Anolis sagrei: one gene and its partner. The protein of the gene in region 1 purifies or fractionates together with the protein of each later gene. This does not show direct contact. Links are inferred from orthologs where the notes say so. Each region holds a gene or a part of one and is shown in the gene's direction. Other genes may lie near its edges.

Evidence for each region.
Region 2: the proteins of KCMF1 (region 1) and ABHD10 purify together in Homo sapiens (affinity purification with mass spectrometry; 3 studies listed by BioGRID and IntAct, counting the BioPlex papers as one, with this or other methods). This does not show direct contact. The link is inferred for Anolis sagrei from reciprocal best matches to the Homo sapiens genes KCMF1 and ABHD10.

Annotation. Positions count from the first base shown.
Region 1 is NC_090022.1:156,905,762-156,916,010, reverse strand, and holds the start of KCMF1 (E3 ubiquitin-protein ligase KCMF1), read left to right. Parts: upstream 1-5,234; 5' UTR 5,235-5,749; coding exon 5,750-5,765; intron 5,766-10,249. UniProt on the Homo sapiens protein: E3 ubiquitin-protein ligase which accepts ubiquitin from an E2 ubiquitin-conjugating enzyme and then transfers it to targeted substrates, promoting their degradation by the proteasome.
Region 2 is NC_090023.1:48,250,875-48,261,154, forward strand, and holds the start of ABHD10 (palmitoyl-protein thioesterase ABHD10, mitochondrial), read left to right. Parts: upstream 1-5,216; 5' UTR 5,217-5,228; coding exon 5,229-5,361; intron 5,362-8,140; coding exon 8,141-8,324; intron 8,325-9,063; coding exon 9,064-9,175; intron 9,176-10,054; coding exon 10,055-10,192; intron 10,193-10,280. Other genes in the region: PHLDB2 (pleckstrin homology-like domain family B member 2), read left to right, coding at 476-616. UniProt on the Homo sapiens protein: Acts as an acyl-protein thioesterase that hydrolyzes fatty acids from acylated residues in proteins.

The DNA of each region.
Region 1 (10,249 bases):
GTAACTAATTGTCAGTGAGAGTACATGGGTCTTCCCTTATAAGGCCTTCAGTCCATGGAGAGATCACCTGGTAGTATAACATCTGCATTCTAGAGTATTTTTCAGCAATCCAGTTTATCTGGAGAGAGGATGCAAGGGACTTTCTCCTAATGGAGATATGGCACAAGTAGAACTCTGTACTTGGAATGGAAGGAAATCCAGAAGACAAGCCTCTAACAATTTTATTCACTCTCTGTAAAACAACAGCAATTTAAACATTCATTTCCAGAAATTTATGTAAACTATAGCAGTAGTACTGATCAATTATCAGTGTTCTGTTTCAAATGCTGAAAGAACATCTTTGCCAACATCGAATTAAAATGTACTTGTTCAATCTGTGTTCTATGTGGTCAAATGTGTTACTCTGCTAAGTGATGTTATTATATATTTATCGTGTCAGCAAATTGAGAATTCTGTATCAGAAGCAGAAAAGACAGTTTGGAAATGTTTTCCAAGTTTCTGGGTCACTAAGGGATCCAGGATCTTCTCTTGGAACACACTAAGAAACTGAGAAACTTGCTTCTTCATGTAACCTTTTCCTTTATATTTATTCCTTCCTCGGAGAGTCTAGCAAAAGTAGGCATTGCTTCCTTTGTATAAAAAAATGTATTAAAAAACCACAAAGTTAAAAACTTGGCATTGTGCTAAATTTCCTTTGACCAGAAGCTGGCTGCTTCAAGTGTCTCTGGTGTCGCTGTAAGAAGGTCCTCCATTGTGCATGTGACAGGGTTCAGACTGCATTGTAGTAAGTGGTTTGTGGTTTGCTCTACACACTCACATGTCATGGACTCCACTTTGTAGCCCCATTTCTTAAGATTGGCCCTGCATCTCATGGTGCCAGGGGGCAGTCTGTTCAGTGCCTTCCAAGTCGCCCAATCTTCTTTGTGCCCAGGAGGGAGTTTCTCATCCAGTATCAGCCACTGATTGAGGTTTCGGGTTTTAACCTTCCACTTTTGGACTCTCGCTTGCTGAGATGTTCCCGCAAGTATCTCTGTAGATCTTAGGAAGCTGTTTCTTGATTTAAGACATTAGCGTGCTGACTTATATCCATACAGAGGCTGGGCCGGAGATGTCAATGCCTTGGTCCTTTCATTACTGGCTGCTACTTCCAGACAGATGTTGGTGGATGCATAAATGAAATATGGTAATATAAAACAAAACTAGAAATTGCCGTGGAAAAATAAGATTAATAATTATGGCATTGAGAATATTTTGTCCATGCTATTATACACATGTATTTTCTCTGTAGTTTTATCACTTCAGGGAAGTTCGAACTAAGGATTTCTCATATCATGTCTCTGCTCTAATGCTACTTATATTCACCCCGTTTCTCAATCTAGTGCTCTTCAAATGTGTTGAATTACAGCATCCATCATTATGTGCTGAAGAAATGTTTTATCCTGTCACCTTTGTATAAGATGGACGGGCAATTTGTGCCTGGCATTATTTCTATACGAACTACATTTCTCAGCATACATTCCAGGTATCCTCATTAAATCTAATGGGCACTGCAGTCCAGATCTGGAGAGACAAAAGTTGCCCATTCCTGCTTTATAACAAGGATCTTGGGGGACAGGCAGACAACCTGTTTATGTGGGCTGCATCCACTCCTCTAAGATATCCCTCCAGAAAGTTATTTTGCCACAGATTTATGCCCAGATCTTTTGTGGTGATGCTGCTGGCTATTATGGGGGAAAATCTGGACCCAGAGCCTCAGATTAGTGCCTTTGGGCATACGCAAAATAATTAGAATATATGTGTCTTGTTCTTCCCAATAAGTCGGCACTTTAATCTTTAGCTCATTCAATAAAGTCTTAATTGATTACAAATAATAAAAAAATGGAAAAACAAATTTCTCAATGGAGCCCCTTCCCACTTTATTCTTATCTCTTGTCTGAGAATGACAACTAGCTCGATTGCTGGTTGAGATTGTGTCAGGAACAAAGAAGTGCACAGCATCTTCTGTGGCTGCAATTTTCCCTACCTGGATAACTTTATACATAATGTCCCTCTTTTTAACTGTTGTCCAATAAACGTATACTAATCATTACAATGTTTGGAAATGAACAAGAGATTCTGGGCCACATATACGTGTAGTCTAGAGAAGAATATCCAAGAATGAGGCGTCTGGTTTGTTAGCTCAGATGAACCCACTGGGACTTGAATATAACTTTGGGGAGTCCTTCCCTCCTGAGGATACAGATATTTCTAGTTTAGCTCTCAGTCATAAGATAAGATTTTGTGAGTTTAAACACATTATCCTATTCCCAGTGTGGGAGATTCTGGTAAGAGAATTCGAGGACAGAAATGCCTGTGGTTTTGTGGGTGGGAGTGGGGGGAGCAGAAACAATTTCAGAATAATATGAGTTTGAGAGGGAAAGCACACAGCCCTACATCCCAGGATATCAAGGCAGGAAATCTCATATTATCTGAGTGTGGACTCAGATAACCCAGTTCAAAGCAGGTATCGTGGGATACTCTGCCTTGATATTCTGGGATATGGGACTATGTGGAAGGGCCCCCAGAAGCCCAAGCCTTTCTGCATCTTGACTTGAAAATCATAATCCCCACTGCCTTCCTCATACTTCTGTGCTATTCTCACTATTGTATAATTGGGATGTGTGAGGCCAAAACTATCGCCTGGAGAATTCAAAGACTTAGCCATCTAAATCTGGAATATCAGTACACAAAGTGATCTTTGAGTTGAGGCGGAGACAAAGAATTTGGCAAAATAAGGTTTTATGAAGAATTGCGTACTTGCATCAAAAATTGAGGTCCCATCTACACTGCCATATGATCCAGTTTCTTGATGCAGATGGTCTGCTTTAAACAGGACCATATGGCAGTGTAAACTTATATAATCCACTTTACAGCAGATAATCTGCACTCAGAAACCGCGGCCCCTTCTACACAGCTGTATAAAATCCACATTGAACTGGAATAAATGGCAGTGTGGACAGATAACCTAGTTCAAAGCAGATATTGTGGATTATCTGCCTTGATCTTCTGGTTTATATGGCGGTGTGGAAGGGCCCTGGATAATATGGCCTAAGCCAGAATCCACAAGACAGAATGATAGCAATTTGATACATTAGCCATCAATGGATTCTGGGATGTGTTGTGTGAGGCACTGAACACTTCTCTATCAGAGGGCCCCTGGTGCCACCAAAACCACAAACCCGATTATCCGATAGAACGGAGCTGTGGCAGTTAGTTGAAAAGTGGCGCCTTCCACCCTGCAGTGTGAATGATCAACTACTTCTTCAGGCTCCTTCTACACAACTGTATAAAATCCACATTAAACTGGATTGTATGGCAGCGTGGATTAGCTGCCTTGATCTTTTGTCTTAAATGGCTGTGTGCAACGGCCCTCAGATAACTCAGTTCAAAATAGATACTGTGGGTTATTCTGTCTTGATATTCTGGGTTATGTGGTATGCGGAAGGGCTCCGGATGATATGGCCTAAGGTGGTATTCACAAGATAGAATGATAGCAGTTCGATATATTAGCTGCCAATGAATTCTGGGATGTGTAGTTGTGTGGGGAACTGAACACTTCTCTATCAGAGAGCCTCTGGTGTCACTACAAACCCGGAGGACAGAGCTGAGGGCCCTTCCACACAGCTGCATAAAATCTCGCATTATCTGCTTTGAACTGGGATATGTGGCAGTGTGGACTCAGATAACCCAGTTCAAAGCAAATATTGTGGGGTTATCTACCTTGATATTCTAGGGCAAACTAAGGCCTGGGGGCCAAATATGGCCCTCCAAGGTCATTTACCCGGCCCTCGCTCAGGGTCAACCTAAGTCTGAAACGACTTGAAAGCACACATTAACAATTCTATCGCATTAGCGAAAAGCAGGCCCACACTTCCCATTGAAATACTAATAAGTTTGTATTTGTTAAAATTGTTCTTCATTATTATTATTGTATTAGTTTTAAGTGTTTTTTTTTTCACTACAGAGAAGATATGTGCAGTGTGCATAGGAATTCATTCATGTTTTTTTGTTTGTTTTTTTCAAATTATAATCCGGACCACCAACAGTTTGAGGGATTGTGACCTGGCCCTCTGTTTTAAAAGTGTGAAGACCCTTGCTTTAGGGTTATATGGCTGTGTGGATGGGCCATGGGATAAACAAAAAACCTGGGATTAGATCCCTGGGATATAGCCTTTGAAGACTGCTTGGAAGCTTCAAATAGTCCAACGAGAGGCTGCCAGTTTAATAACTGGGGCGGCATACAGAGAGCATACAACTCCCATGTTACGCCAGCTCCACTGGCTATCAGTTTGCTACCGGGCACAATTCAAAATGCTGGCTTTGGCCTATAAAGCCCTCAACGGCCGCAGCCCAAATTACCTGTCCAAATGCATCTCCCCCTATAAACTATCAGAGATTAAGATCCTCCGGGGAGGCTTTCTGTCCCGCCATTGTCACAGGCACAATTGGTGGGGACGAGACAGGGCCTTCTTGGTGATTGCTCCCCAGCTATGGAAGTCCCTTCCTGGTGAGATCAGGTCGGCCCCCTCCCTCCTGTCCTTTAGAAGGATGGTAAAAACTTGTCTGTGGGACCAAACTTCTGGGACAGGGCAATGAAGCGGCTGTGGGAAAGATGACAGGGCCAATTGGATTTGATGCGGATGGCTAGGACGGTTTTAAATGGTATTTTAATATTTTGATCAATTTTTTTTAATGTTTATGTATTGTATGTGCATCTGTGTCCCGGCATTGAATGTTTGCCATGTATATGCTGTGAGTCCCCTTCGGGGTGAGAAGGGCGGAATATAAATGTTTTAAATAATAAATAAATAAATAAATAAATATAAGACCTGCCATGAAAGGCCCTTCCACACAGCAGTATAACTTAGGGCCCTTCCACACAGCCATATAAAACAGAATGATCAAGGCAGGAAATCCCACAATATCTGCTTCGAACTGGAATACATGGCAGTGTGAACTCAGGGCCCTTTTACACAGCTCTCTCTTTCTCTCTAGATATATATATATGGATAGATTTCAAAACGGTCGCGAGGCAGGCCATTGAGGCGCGCGCCGTGCTGAGGGAGCAGAGGAGGAGGAGGAGGAGGCGGGAAAGCATTAGGAGAGAGAGGAAGCGCGAGGCAGAGCGCGAGCCCCCTTCCCTTCTCCTCCTCCCCCCTCCCTTCCCCTTTGAGCGATTTCCTCTTCCTCTGGGCAGGGAGAGAGAGAGAGAAGGAGAGGAAGCTGGGAAAGAGGAGGAGGAAGGGGAGTAGGCCTTGGCGGCGCTGCTGCTGTTCCTCCTGTGAGGGAGGGGAAGTCAGGGACGAAAGCGGCCGCCGTTGTCGTCGTCGTCGAGGAGAGGCGGCGCTTAGAGGAGCTGCTGCTGCTGCTGCTGCCGGCGGAGTCACCGTGGGAGGAAGGGCCTTAAGGAGGGGACCCACCGCCGCCTCAGCCGCCTCCTCCTCCTCCTCCTCCCTTGGCTTCTCCCCCCCCCTCGCCTCTCGCGCGCCCCTCAGGAGGGGGCCCCGGCCAGGCCAGGCCAGGACGGAGGAGGAGGAGCAGCAGCGGCAGCGGGAGGAGGAGGAGGAGGCGGCCAAGGCCCAGGCCGGGGAGGGCGGGAGGGAGGAGGCGGGGACGGGGGGGGAACTGGAGCCCGCGACGGGCCTGGTCTGGGCCGGGCCGGGCCGCTGCCTCTGCTACTACCACCGCCGCCTCCTCTTCGTGAACTAGGATGTCCCGACATGAAGGTGAGTGGCTGAGGGAAAGGAGGGAGGGGGGCATCATGGCGGCTCCCTGCGCGGTTTCGAAGCCCGGAAGGCGGGCCAGGCCTGCTTTGCCTCGTCATGGGCCAGGCCTGGGTGTCCGTTACGGCTCCCCTCCGCCGAGAGCCAGGCCTCGGCCGCCCTACTGGGCCTAGGCCCCGCCCTGCGGTTGGGTTGTGCGCTCGGCCTGGCTCTCCCTTGGCCCTTCTGGGTTGCCGTGGCAGAGGAGGAGAGCCGGGCCTAGCCGGAAGAGCCGTGGATTTATTCTAATTTCCCACGAAGCGGGTTGTAGAGGGACGTGGCCCCGCACGTGGAACGTAATTTCGGTGGGGCGCCCAGAGGAAAAGTTTGGCCAGGCCGATTGGAAGTGTGGCCCCTTCCACACAGCTGAATAAAGCCCCACACTCTCTGCTTTGAACTGGAGTGTATGGCAGCGTGGACTCAGGGCCCTTGCACATAGTCCTATATCCCAGAATATCAAGGCAGAAAATCCCACAGTATATGCTTTGAACTGGAGTATATGGCAGCGTGGACCCCGGGCCCTTCCACATAGCCCTATATCCCAGAATATCAAGGCAGAAAATTCCACACTATCTTCTTTGAACTAAATATATGGCAGCGTGGACCCAGGGCCCTTCCACACAGCCCTATATCCCAGAATATCAAGGCAGAAAATCTCACAGTATATGCTTTGAACTGGGTTATCTGAGTCCAGGTTGCCATATATTCCAGAAAATCCCACACTATCTGCTTTGAACTGGAATATATGGCATCATGGACCCAGGGCCCTTCCACACAGCCCTATATCCTAGAATATCAAGGCAGAAAATCTCACAGTATATGCTTTGAACTGGGTTATCTGAATCCAGGTTGCCATATATTCCAGAAAATCCCACACTATCTGCTTTGAACTGGAATATATGGCAGCGTGACACAGGGCCCTTCCACATAGCCCTATATCCTAGAATATCAAGGCAGAAAACCCCACACTATCTGCTTTGAACTGGAATATATGGCAGCATGGACTCAGGGCCCTTCCAAATAGCCCTATATCCCAGAATATCAAGGCAGAAAATCCCACAGTATATGCTTTAACTGGGTTATCTGAGTCCACGTTGCCATATATTCCAGAAAATCCCACACTATCTGCTTTGAACTGGAGTATATGGCAGCGTGGACCCAGGGCCCTTCCACATAGCCCTATATCCCAGAATATCAAGACAGAAAATCCCACACTATCTTCTTTGAACTGGAATATATGGCAGCATGGGCCCAGGGCCCTTCCACATAGCCCTATATCCTAGAATATCAAGGCAGAAAACCCCACACTATCTGCTTTGAACTGGAATATATGGCAGCGTGGACTCAGGGCCCTTCCACATAACCCTATATCCCAGAATATCAAGGCAGAACATCCCACAGTATCTGCTTTGAACTGGGTTATCGAGTTCATGTTGCCATATATTCCAGAAAATCCCACAATATCTGTTTTGAACTGGGTTATCTGAGTCCACACTGCCATATATTCCAGTTCAAAGCAGATAATGTGGGATTTTCTGCCTTGATATTCCGGGTTATATGGCTATGTGGAAGGGACCTGTGTTTGTTTACTTGAGCGGGAGATGTAATGGGGAGGCAACATGGGGTGCACACACGTCTAGATGGGCTCTCTTGTCATTGTGCTGTTGGAAAAGGAGAGCAAGTCCCCTTCCACACCACTGAATAAGATCCCACAATATCTGTTTTGAACTGGGTTATCTGAGTCCACACTGACATATATCCAGTTCAAAGCAGATAATGTGGGATTATATTCAAATGTGTGGAAGGGGGCTTTGATATATAGCACTGTGGACTCGGGGGCCCTTCCATACTGCCATATAACCCAGAGTATCTGCTTTGAACTGGGATATATGGCAGTGTGGACTCGGGGTCCTTCCACACAGCCAGATAACTCAGTGTATCAAGTCAGAAAATCCCACAATATCTGCTTTGAACTGAGTTATCTGAGTCTACACTGGCATATATTCCAGTTCAAAGCAGAAATGTGGGGTTTTATTCAGCTGTGTGGAAGGGGCCTCAGATAACCTGGTTCAAGGCAGATATTGTGGGTTATTCTGTCTTAATATTATGGATTATATGGCATGTGGAAGGGCTTCAAGATGCATGTTGACCATAGCTCTGGGTGGGGTTGAGGTACGCTCCCGGGCGAGGCTGGGTTGGCAGCAGTGCAGGCCAGAGGACTTCGAAGTGTGGACGTGTTGGTGTGACAGGGCGAAGAAGGTGTGTCAGGATTTGTGTTGGGAGTTGAGGGTGCTTATAGCAGGAAGTGAGCTTCAAAGAGGAAGTTTAGGGTTGGGAAGAGATTCTGCATATGTTCAGCTGTTTATATTAGGAACGAAAAAGTTGTGTAAAATATCATTTAAGCTTGAGAAGGATCATAATGCAGAATAGGATCTAATAGTTGATATACTGTATTTCTTTGATTCTAACAACCTCTACACACCAAAGCAAGGATCCACTTTAAATCCAGTGTCTGTCTCCTGCCTGGCTGAGGAGTTTGAAGCCCCCCCCCCCCCTGAACTACAAGCCCCAGAATTCTGCAGGAGGCAGAAACTGGATTTAAAGTGTATCCATGCTCTAGTGTGATGAGGTCCTAAGATGCACTTCCCCCACATATAAATATTTCTAAACACAAGGTGCATCCTAGAAATGCAGATTCATTTGTGTGTGTGTGTGTGTGTCTGTCTATCTATCTATCTATCTACAACTCAGGGATTCTCTCTCTGTGTGTATAGGCAGTCCAACTTACATCTGACACATAGTTAAGAACAGAGGTGAGACAACAGGAAGTGAAAGGAATCGACCCCTAGGAAGGGAAACTTACTCCTGAAAGAGTTACCATGGGTACAAGTGTCTCCACTGAATCTTTAGCACCAGCCCTTGTTTCCACAACAGGCCAAACCTTTCAAAATCCAATGATCACAGGGACAGAAAGTGAGTTGAAATCATCTGAACAGAAAGCAAAACAAACATCATAGTGGTGTTAACCTTTCCCTATGTTTCCTAAAACTAACAAAAACAATACTTTAAAAAAAGAATCTTTCTATCTTGTTCATTTCATAGGGACTGCCTGTATGTGTGTGTATATATTCTGTTGATGGTATTGACAGTGTGTGCTTTACATTCAGTGGTGTTTTAGCACTGAAGAAATAGTTATTCACTGATTTGTATTGTGTGCTATGATCTTAGTACATTTCCATGTGTATTTACTACAAGTGAGGCTTGAAGTTAAATTTTCAGCAAGTTAAAATATATTTTAGTCTTATCGATATGGCTGAGTAAACATTTTACCATAGACATTGTTTTACATGCTCTTTCCAGAAGGTGCTTTTTGACATGCAGGTGTACAAGGTTGATACTTTAGAATTTTTATCTTTTCCTAGATATGTAATGCTCACTATCTTTTGCCTCTCACAGTTTGCAGTGTGACAAAAGGCAGCGTAGAAGATAGTTCATTTTTCCCTGTATATAGTGTGTATTGCTGACACTGAATTAAATGTTCAGAAAACAAAATGAGAGGAATTGAAGGGTTGAATACAGTATGCATGATAGTAAGAAATATTGAAATCATGTGTGACTTATGAATCATTTGATCATTTGGGGTATGATATATGATAGTTTAGTAAAAGAGGTATCTCATAATCTTTTTAACATGATTTCATCAAATTCTGTGGTGGATGAAGTAAAGATTATTGTCTGAAGGACGGGAAATATTGTTGAAGTACTCATTCATAATGATGACACAAGAATGAAAGGTCAAGGAAAGAAGTGGGGAAGTTGTATTCCTCTATGATTTTCCAATATAGTCAGGCCTAACGTATTGACTGAGGTTGATAAGGGTAGTGAGTTCTCAAACTGTATTAAATGGTTAGTTCAGATGGAGCCTTGTACATAAAACTTTTGGGTTCTCCTACACCTGGACTGGGGAACTTGTGGCCTTCCAGATTTTGACGCTAGCTTCAAACTCCGCTGACTTGATAACTCGCACAAAAATACATGAAAGAAAGCCCTTAATGTGTGTCAGTGCTCTGTGTTTTGTGTACTCACTATCTAGGCCTCAAACTTGTTCCAGGATTTCTTATTAATCACCTACCTAGCAAAATCACTTTCTTGAATACAATTTGAAACTGCATTAAATGGTCAGTGTAGCTGGGGTCCAAGTTAACATTGCTGCTGAAAGTTCAACTTTGGGTTGAACCTCATTTTACATCAGAAAAAAGTATACCCGAAAGCAGCAGATCCTTGCAGATCTTGAAGCTAAGCAGGATCAGCTTTAGTTAATACTTGAATGTGAGACCACAAGGCGGTAGTTCAGAAGAAGGAACTGCAAACTATTCTTGAAATTCATGTGGCTGGCATAAGTCAACTGACAATTTGAAGGCACATACATGCACACTATAGCTTAGTGC
Region 2 (10,280 bases), on another chromosome or scaffold:
ACCCCTCAGACACACACACTCACACATAAATAGCAACATATGGGTAGTACTGCTCCCACATTCTTCCATTACCTCTGCAGTACCTCTCAAAACTGGAAGTTACAAGATATCCCTATTTGCCACCATTTTGAGAGGAACTGCAGGGGGAAAATCAAGGTATTTGAGTTTGCTGTGAAAGGTGAGAAGTGGCTAGGAGGAATTGGCTTCCTGACCAATTAGTAGGAGTCTGCACAGGTTAACTTTTGAGGTATTTAGTACCAGCAGAAATTATTCCTTCAGTGTTACATGGAATTTTTCATATGTTACACCGAACACATATGTGAGGCGAGGGAGGGGGAACTGCCTTTTCTACCCTTTGTGATAGTCAGTAGAAAAAAAATGTGTGCAAGTTGTACTTTCCAAAAGTCCAGAGAATATGAGCCATCTTGCTTAACTTGTCCAAGAGATCAAATTGTGTATTTTTCTTTTTTCATAGAGTCCTAATCCATTGCTTACCTTCAGTGTTAAGACTCATGACAGAATATATTACATGGTAGCCCCAACACCAGAAGCTATGCGGATATGGATGGACGTAATCGTGACCGGAGCAGAAGGCTATACCCACTTCATGTTGTAGAAAACGGTGCAAAAGTCCATTGGCAGGGCATAATGCAATAACAGCCTCAAATCTGGGGATGCAAGCCATATTCTGTCACATTTGATGAGCATCACAAAATAGCAAGAACGCACAGATCTGCCTACCTTTGTCGTCCAAAATGAAACCCATGCTGTGTAAGGCAGAATTAATTCTTAGATATGTTAATCACTGTCATAGCAGAAGAAAAGAAAAGCTGCTTAAAAGATTGTGGTGCTCCAAAATGGATAATCAGATTGCCATAAGCCTGTCCCAGCAGATTCTATGGCATTTCCCTGCAGATTTTATCATGCAGAACTTTCTTAATAAAAAACAAACTTCTTTGTTTGAACCTTGTTGGTATATTTCCAGTATTTCAAAATTAAGAAGAAAAAGGGAAAGTTATGATGGTTAATTTTTTAATGTATGGGATTTCTATACAATTTTAATTTTATAAGTATTTTATAACACATTTTAAACTACAATGTGTGGTGTTTCTGTTTTAATTTACTAGATCACCAAAGATTCATACTATTACAATGAGATTTAGCATCTGCGCAATGAGGGTTTTAAAATCTTTCATACATAGTAATGAAGTTTCAAAAAATATTACCATTCACTTTTTAATTTGCAAATACTGGACACAAGCTATGAGTATGCTTCAGATATGCATGTGAAAGAACTTTCAAAATATTCTTGAAACATTTCAAAAACCTTCTTCCAAGAACAATATCAAATGATTTTTTATTGTCATGCTCATTTTGTAATGATTTCGTTCTATTGGTTAATTTCTTCAAAAGTGAAAACCATCTGCTTTATCCACAGCATTATTCCTTCATTTCTAGCAGATACTAGAATATCTAGATCCCATATAAGACATACATAATAGGGTAGAAATGGGAGAAGGAAATGCCATGAAGTCCCATGGAAGCTCTTCACAAACTCAATACTTCCATGTCAAGACTATGGTTGATTCTACACTGGGTTGTTGTAGGTTTTTCCGGGCTATATGGCCATGTTTTGGAGGCAATTTTTCTCCTGACGTTTCGCCTGCATCTATGGCAAGCATCCTCAGAGGTAGTGAGGTCCTCACTTCAGACAGAGGTGGTCCATAGAATTACCATAAGAGGACCTAGAGAGAAATCTGCACATAATCAAATCTACAATAGTTAAACCTGCAAATATGGAAGGCTGATTGGAATATAAATATATTATTTTCCTACCAGCTAGATAAAGTATATATTACTTTTGATTTCCCTGGTTATCAAATAAATGATGCAAGAGATAGTGTTAGATCACCTACTTTGCATATAAAAGGTCCCAAGTTCAAGCCCGGGCATTATTTAAACAAAGAGATAAAGAAAAGCTTAAATCCTCAAGTCAGAATAGACAGTGCTGGACAGAAATGAATAAGAAAATAAACCTGACAACAGTGGGAAGCAACTTTTCAGATCCAGTGGATCAGTTCCAGTTTGATGGTCTTAAAGTGGCAACCCACCAACAGTCCATAATGGTTGATGTTTTCATGCAATGGATTGCCATACCTCTCTTGTAAAGATTATATATTTCTTAAGAGATTTTTTCCAATTTAAAATGCCTCTGTAGTCTTGGATATTGTATTCAGATGATTGATTGAATTTTGAACTTCAGGTCTGCGTTTGATATCCTCTTTTAATAATTGGATTTTGTGCCATATGTTTTTCTCAATGCAATAAACTAAAAATGTTTCTGTTTCTAAAACGTATAAATATTAAATCACATTTTCTGAAATGGCTGTAATCCTAAAGTATATTCCGTGTGAAGAGAGCTGGATTTTTTTAAATGTCACAGTGTGGCAGTAGCGTAGTTGTAAGAGTTCACAGTCCTAAATGTATTTACTTGAATGTGACTCTAATTAAAAAAAAATACTTGTAAGTGTGATTATGATCTGAATTTAAAAGGTATATTCACTTAAAATCAGTAAACTACTTTATAGTAAATGATTTTAAGATTGCGTAACAAAATTTGAGCCGATTAAAACTTACATCTGATTTGTCATGAATAAAATCTGGCTGAAGATGAAGCGAGGCAGAGACAATGGATTGGATTTATGACCTTGCAAAACTTATGCCCCATTGACTTCAGTGGGTCAATCTGTGACTACATCTGGATCTCACTGATTGTAAAAGAACTAATTTGCTTTAGAGATTTGATTGTAATTGCAGTGTCTGAAAAAAGGCAAAACACAAATGGGTTTGGTTTATATACTTTCTATCATGTATTTTGAATATCTGTACAATTTTACAGGTTTTCTATTTGTTTTGTATCTTGCATGTTGTAATAAAATCTAAACAAATGTTCAATAGTAGCTTTTCAAACAATGTGTCTGATTTCTCACTAACAGATTGTGTTATCATTATACACTTTAATCTGACTTCAAACCAGCCCATGCTTTACAAGTTGCATCTAGCTTGGGCATTGGCAAACTTCGGTCCTCCGGGTTTTTTGAACTTCAACTCCCACAATTCCTAACAGCCTACCAGCTGGGTTGTTGTAGGTACGAAACCTACCAGCTGTTAGGAATTGTGGAAGTTGAAGTCCAAAGCAGGCTGGAGAGATGAAGTTTGCCCATGCCTTATCTATCTCCATTAAAGATGGGGACTGATGACCACTGTGTGCAAGTATTCCAAAATCCATGGGGAGAAAACTCTGAAAATTGAAAACACTTGAGTAGTAAATCCATTTGTTAGATGTATGTGAATCAGGTCCTTTGTTCTCTTGTGATTGTATGTTCAAGTTGCTTATTCATGTTCAAGTTGCTTATTCATTTATGGCATCCCCATCAATTTCATAGGCTAAGAGAATCCTGACTGGTTTTCCATCTCCTTCCTCTAAAACAGGGGTCCTCAAACGTTTTAAACAGAGGGCCAGATCACAGTCTCTCAAACTGTTGGAGGGCCGGATTATAATTTGAAAAAAAATATGAATTCCTATGCACACTGCACATACCTTATTTGTAGTGCAAAAAACACTTTAAAACAATAATTAAAATGAACAATTTTAATAAATATAAGCTTATTAGTATTTCAATGGGAAGTGTGGGCCTGCTTTTGGCTGATGAGATAGGATTGTTGTTGTATGCTTTCAAGTAGTTTCAGACTTAGGTTGACCCTGAGCGAGGGCCGGGTAAATGACCTTGGAGGGCCGTATCCAGCCCCCAGGCCTTAGTTTGAGGACCCCTGCTCTAAAATATCACCTACACCTGGTAGTCACTGGTGGTCTCCTATCTAAGTATTTATCAGAGTTGGCTTTGTTTAGCTTTAAAGATCAGACAGGACCAACCTGAGTCCTAACAGAGAAGAGGGCAGCATAGAAATAAAGTTTTATTATTATATTGAAATAGAACAATTTGGACTGGCCACGGATAGTGCAATATGGGCCACAGATAGCAAAACCCAGAGCGCAGATACCAATTTATGTTAGGCAGATACCGGCAGCGGGTCGCCTGTGGGTCTGTGTGCCTGGTGAGACAAAGAAGCTAGCCCAATGTTCTCCAATCAAGAAATTTCATCAAGTTGAAGAAGCCACCAAGGTGATTTTATTTCGATCCAACTGGAAAGGATGACAGCTTACAGTAAAATGCTAAAGGAAGCTAAGATACCATACAGAGAAAAAACAAGCATTTTATACAATCATAAACTTTGTATTTCCTGCCCCAACTGTGGCCGGTTTGGCATTGATTGGTGGAGCCCTGTTGACGTCACAGCTGGCTGGGGAGGATTCCCTTGGAGAGGTGGGATTGCAGCACCTGTCAGCCAATCTGAAAGCATTCCCCACTTCTGTACTAATCCAAGGAGTGACCATCAGTAAAAAAAAATGATTTTGTCATTTGGGAGTTGTAGTTGCTGGGATTTATAGTTCACCTACAATCAAAGAGCATTCTGAACTCCACCAATGATGGAATTGAACCAAACTTGGCAACAGGATTCCCATGACCAACAGAAAACACTAGAAGGGTTTATTGTAGAAGGCTTTCATGGCTGGAATCACTAGGTTCTTGTGGGTTTTTTTGGGCTATAAGGCCATGTTCTAGAGGCATTTTCTCCTGACGTTTCGCCTGCATCTATGGCAAGCATCCTCAGAGGTAGTGAGGTCTGTTGGAATTAGGACAATGGGTTTATATATCTGTGGAATGCCTGGGGCGGGGGCAAAGAGCTCTTCTCTGCTGGAGCTAGGTGTGAACACAGAAGGCGTTTGGGGGAAATAGACCTTGACATTTAGAAGTTGTAGTTACTGGGATTTATAGTTCACCTACAATCAAAGAGCATTCTGAAAAGGTAGGTACTTTACAAGTCTCATCATCTCTCACAGTAGGCCTGGAGGGCCAATGTTTGCTCATGTTTGCTGTAGCCATTTTTGCCCCAAAGACAATAGTGGGGGGGGGGGGGGTGGCAAAAAAATCAACCCGGAAGCTCCATTCTAAGAGAAGAGGTCGTCGCTCTATGGTTGAATGATTTATGTTCCTCTTCGAGACTTCTCTCCTGTAGAGATAAGAGGTAAAGAGCAATGCCTAGAGCGGACAGTTTCCGGCGCCTGCGCAGTGACAATTTCCTCCTCCTTCCAGCGAACCCGGCGCATGCTCAGTAGCTCACGGAGCGGCCAAGGAAAGGGGTGTGTTGCTGCGGGGCTCTGGCGGATGGCGCTCTCCGGGGCCACGAGGCTGCTGTGGCGGGAGAGGCTGCGCTGGGGGCCGGCCGTCTCTCGGCTGGGTGAGTGACTGAGCGAGTGGGGCGCCTCCCTGTGCCTTTTGCCACAGGTCGAAGACAACTAGTGCCTCTACAGCAGGCCTGGGCAAACTTGGCCCTTCCAGGTGTTTTGGACTTCAACTCCCAGCATTCCTTTCAGGGCCTGAGGCTGTTAGGAATGCTGGGAGTTGAAGTCCAAAATACCAGGAAGGCCCAAGTTAGCTCAGGCCTGCTGTAGAGGCACCTGAAGCCTTCTACTTCTGAACCAACCTTTCCATTGTTCCTTCCCCTTTCCTTTTAGAGGAAGCTAAAACTTGGAATCAGATCCTGGGATATAGGGCCTGTCTGGAAGGGTCCTGAGTGAAGATACAGAATGGGGGAAGCGTGGCTCAAGAGCAGTACGTGTGAAAAAGATCTTGAGGTCCTCGTGGACATCAAGTTGAACATGAGCCAACAATGTGATGCGGCGGCAAAAAAAAGCCAATGGGATTTTGGCCTGCATCAATAGGAGTATAGGGTCTAGATCCCTCTATTCTGCCTTGGTTAGACCGCACCTGGAATATTATATCCAATTCTGGGCACCATCATTGAAGAGAGATATTAACAAGCTGGAATGTGTCCAGAGGGAGGTGACTAAAATGATCAAGGGTCTGGAGAACAAGCCCTATGAGGAGAGGCTTAAAGAGCTGGGCATGTTTAGCCTGAAGACAAGAAGGCTGAGAGGAGACATAATAGCCATGTATAAATATGTGAGTCATAGGGAGGAGGGAGCAAGACTGTTTTCTGCTGCCCTGGAGACTAGGACGCGGAACAATGGCTTCAAACTACAAGAAAGGAGATTTCATCTGAACATTAGGAAGAAATTCCTGACTATGAGAGCCGTTCAGCAGTGGAACTCTCTGTCCCGGAGTGTGGTGGAGGCTCCTTCTTTGGAAGCTTTTAAACAGAGGCTGGATGGCTGTCTGTCGGGGGTGCTTTGAATGCAATTTTCCTGCTTCTTGGCAGGAGGTTGGACTGGATGGCCCATGAGGTCTCTTCCAACTCTATGATTCTATTGAAGCCATATCATTTAATCACCTCCCTAAAATAAATGCTTTCCTCAGAAGCTTTGCTCAACCAGGGGTGAGAAAGGCGATATATAAATACTGTAAATAAATAATTTTCCTCCTTCTTGGCAGGGGGTTGGACTGGATGGCCCACAAGGTCTCTTCCAACTCTATGATTCTATGAAGACATTGCAGGACTTCCTAATGGCAGCAGTCACACTTGTTTCAAACAGTCAAGGGTTCCTTCTCCCACCCTGGACATCTCACACACACTTATATACACACACATCCCCATCAACTCCACTGGACTGGCCATGTTGTCCAAATGCCTGATCACTGCTTCCCAAAGCAGTTGCTATACTCCCAACTCAAGAATGTTGGTGGACAGGAAAGGATATTTAAAAATGGGCTTAAAGCCAACCTCAAAACCTGTGGCATAGACACAGAGAACTGGGAAGCCCTGGTCCTTGAGTGCTCTAATTGGAGGTCAGCTGTAACCAGCAGTGCTGCAGAATTCAAAGAGGCACGAATGGAGGAACTGATGTCCTCACTGTGGGAAAATAAGAGAGATTAGTTCCTGCACTACAAAGAAGAGAAGTTTGATATGCTCTAGCAATGTTTTTATTTAAAATTAGCAGTATGCATTTACGATATGAAACAACCAGGTATTTTAAGCCCTGTGTAAGTAAACAAAAACACTTTGAACCTTCTGAAGAATGATAAAATCATAGAGTTGGAAGAGACCTCATGGGCCATCCAGTTCAATTCCCTGCAAAGAAGCAGAAAACTCGCATTCAGAGCAGCCCCAACAGATGGCCATCCAGCCTCTATTTAAAAGCCTCCAAAGGGGCCTCTACCACACTCTGGGGCAGAAAGTTCCACTGTTGAACAACTCTCACAGTTAGGAAATTTTTCCTCATGCTCAGGTGGAATCGCCTTTCCTGTAATTTGAAGCCCTTGTTCTGCATCCTAATCTCCAGGACAGCAGAAAACAAGTTTGCTCCCTCCTCCCTCACGTATTTATGCATGTCTGCCAAGTTTCCTCGGCAGGCTAAACATGCCCAGCTTTTTAAGCCTCTCCTCATAGGACTTGTTCTCCAGACCCTTTGATCATTTTAGTCACCTCCCTCTGGACACATTCCAGCTTGTCAGCATCTCCCTTCAATTGCAGTGCCCAGAACTGGACACAGTATTCTAGGTGTGGTCTGACCAAGGCAGAATAGAGGGGAAGCATGACTTCCCTGGATATAAACAGTATAGTCTTATTGATGCAGGCCAAAATCCCATTGGCTTTTTTTGCCGCTGCATGACACTTGAAAGTTTCTTCCAGAATGTAGCCAACGATGATTTATTTTCTTTCTCTACTTTTCAGTTTTACCATTTTTGTTGATGTCGTTTAACATACTTAGTGATGCAGATATATTCACTTTCCATTGCTTTGCTGTTTGTGCATGCTCAGTAAGAGATTCTGGAGGCAGCTGCTCTGTTTTAGGCAGATACATTCAACAACAATTGGATCAACTAGAGTGGAATCCCATTCTTTACCAGCTCCAGCTTTACTGCATTAACTGCTGACATGACTGCAACCCAGCAGTGACAGCCCGTGTTGGTCCAGCCCTTTCCCCTCATCTTCCTATTCTTGTTGCTGGAGAATGGGGAGGAAAACTAACATATTTGTTAACTTCGGTAGACCTGTAATTTGTTTCAACAATATCCGCAGTAAAAATGTAAAAGTTCAATTTTTTTTGTGTGCGTAGGTTGCAGGCAAAAATCATCTCCCAGTTTCCTTAACCGGACAGATCTTCCAAAACTCGCCTATCATAAACTAAAAGGAAAGAATCCTGGAGTTGTCTTCCTCCCAGGCCTTTTTTCAAACATGAATGGTGAAAAAGCACTTGCACTGGAAGACTACTGTAAATCAGTTGGCCATGCTTTTGTCAGGTATGTTATAACAGAACAGACTTGTGCTTAGTGTGACACATATATTTCATTCCATTATTTTAAATGTTCTGTTCATGTTGTCAGTGAATTATGTTTATTTTTATTGACATGTTTATTGCATTTACATCCCATCTCTCTCCTTATTCAGAACCTAAAATGATCTTCTTTTTTTTGTAAAAAAAAGAAAAACAAAAATAAAAAACAAGATACAGTAGAGTCTCGCTTATCCAACCTTCACTCATCCAACATACTGTATTATCCAACACAATCTGCCTCCTGCCTGGATCCACAGCTGTTTAAATACATTGCAATGTTTCGGTGCTCAGTTCGTAAATACAGTAATGACTACATCACATTATCGTATATTGAACTGCTTTTTCTATCAATTTGTTTTAAAACATGATGTTTTGGTGCTTAATTTGTAAAATCATAATGTAATTTGACGTTTAATAGGCTTTTCTTTAATACCTCCTTATTATCCAACATTTTCACTTATCTAACATTCTACTGGCCCATTTATGTTGAATAAGCAAGACTCTACAACTAAAATATTATGTTCGCAAAAGTTTTACAAAAATTAACTAACTGCAATTAAAAACATGATTAAAACAATATCAAAGTATTATTATTTGCTGTTAAAACTATCTTGCTGCAGGCATCTTCCCAAGCAGTTTGTATATGGTAATCTTGGTCATTGCTGATTATACAAAGCTATGTTTTCATTTTTATTCCTCCACAGGTTTGATTACAGAGGTTGCGGAGGTTCAGATGGCAGTACTAAAGAAAGTACATTGGGAAAGTGGCGGAAGGATGTTCTGTCCATACTGGATGAACTCACACAAGGGCCACAGGTTGATTGTTCTTGATTTTTAAATGAAGCAGTTCTTCTCTTATGTTGCACTGTGCTTCTTTTTGTGAATAAAATTGTGGGACATTTCACTATTGCTAGCCTGGAGGAAGCAAACATACCCCTGACTTACGAAATCCTTTGGCAGGAAATTATTTTGTCTGGTTAATAAAGTTTAGCGTTTAGTTGTTGATATTCATCAGACTGTTCTGAAAAACTGTCTTTTAAAGAAAACTTCTTGGAAAATAGAATTGGGCATGGCTGGAAAGTGTAGATCTCCCAAATAACAATGTAAAGAAGTATATACTGGCATTGAATGCGGTAAAACATGCACAAGCCCTAAAATATTGGGGAAATTGTATATATTACACTTAGAGGTGAGAGTTACGAAACATTGACTGGTTTGGACTATGGTATCTCAATTTAAAAAGTGGAGAGGGATGAGTGAGCCTCATGTAACTGTGGCATGTAACTGCTTTTCATTTCAAACAAATAGCCTTCAGCCTAGGAAGCCTTCAATTAACCTATTTTTCATGGCATTGGATCTATGAAAGTTTTGGACAATCTGGCATTTTAAGCCATGAGGATTGTTCATATCATTTGCCATATTCCATATAATCCATTTTAAATCCAGGAAAAGTATTTTGAACAACAGGAAATGAGAAGTCACTCACCTGGCTCAGAAGTGGGGCGGGGGGATTGAGAAATATAAAAATTCAAGAACATTTGGGAGTTTAGGGGGCAAAAAACTATTGGTAAAAATGTCAGATTTTTTGGTCACTGTGGGGCGAAGGGGATACACTTGGCCCACCTCTGCATGCATAGAAAATGTTTTGTGTGTTTTCCGGTAACACAAAATAGCTAATACTATTTTCATGTTAAGATTTTAGTTGGCTCCAGCCTGGGTGGATGGCTGATGCTTCATGCTGCAATTGCCCGTCCCGAAAAGGTAGCTGCATTAGTTGGAGTAGCTGTAGCGGCAGACCATTTAGTAGCAACTTTTCAGCAGCTTTCTGTAGAGGTAAGAGGAAATGCTGGCTTTGCTGATCCAAAACATACATGTGGTGTCTTTGTACTATAGAACTCCCATGTTGCAGAGGACTATTGTT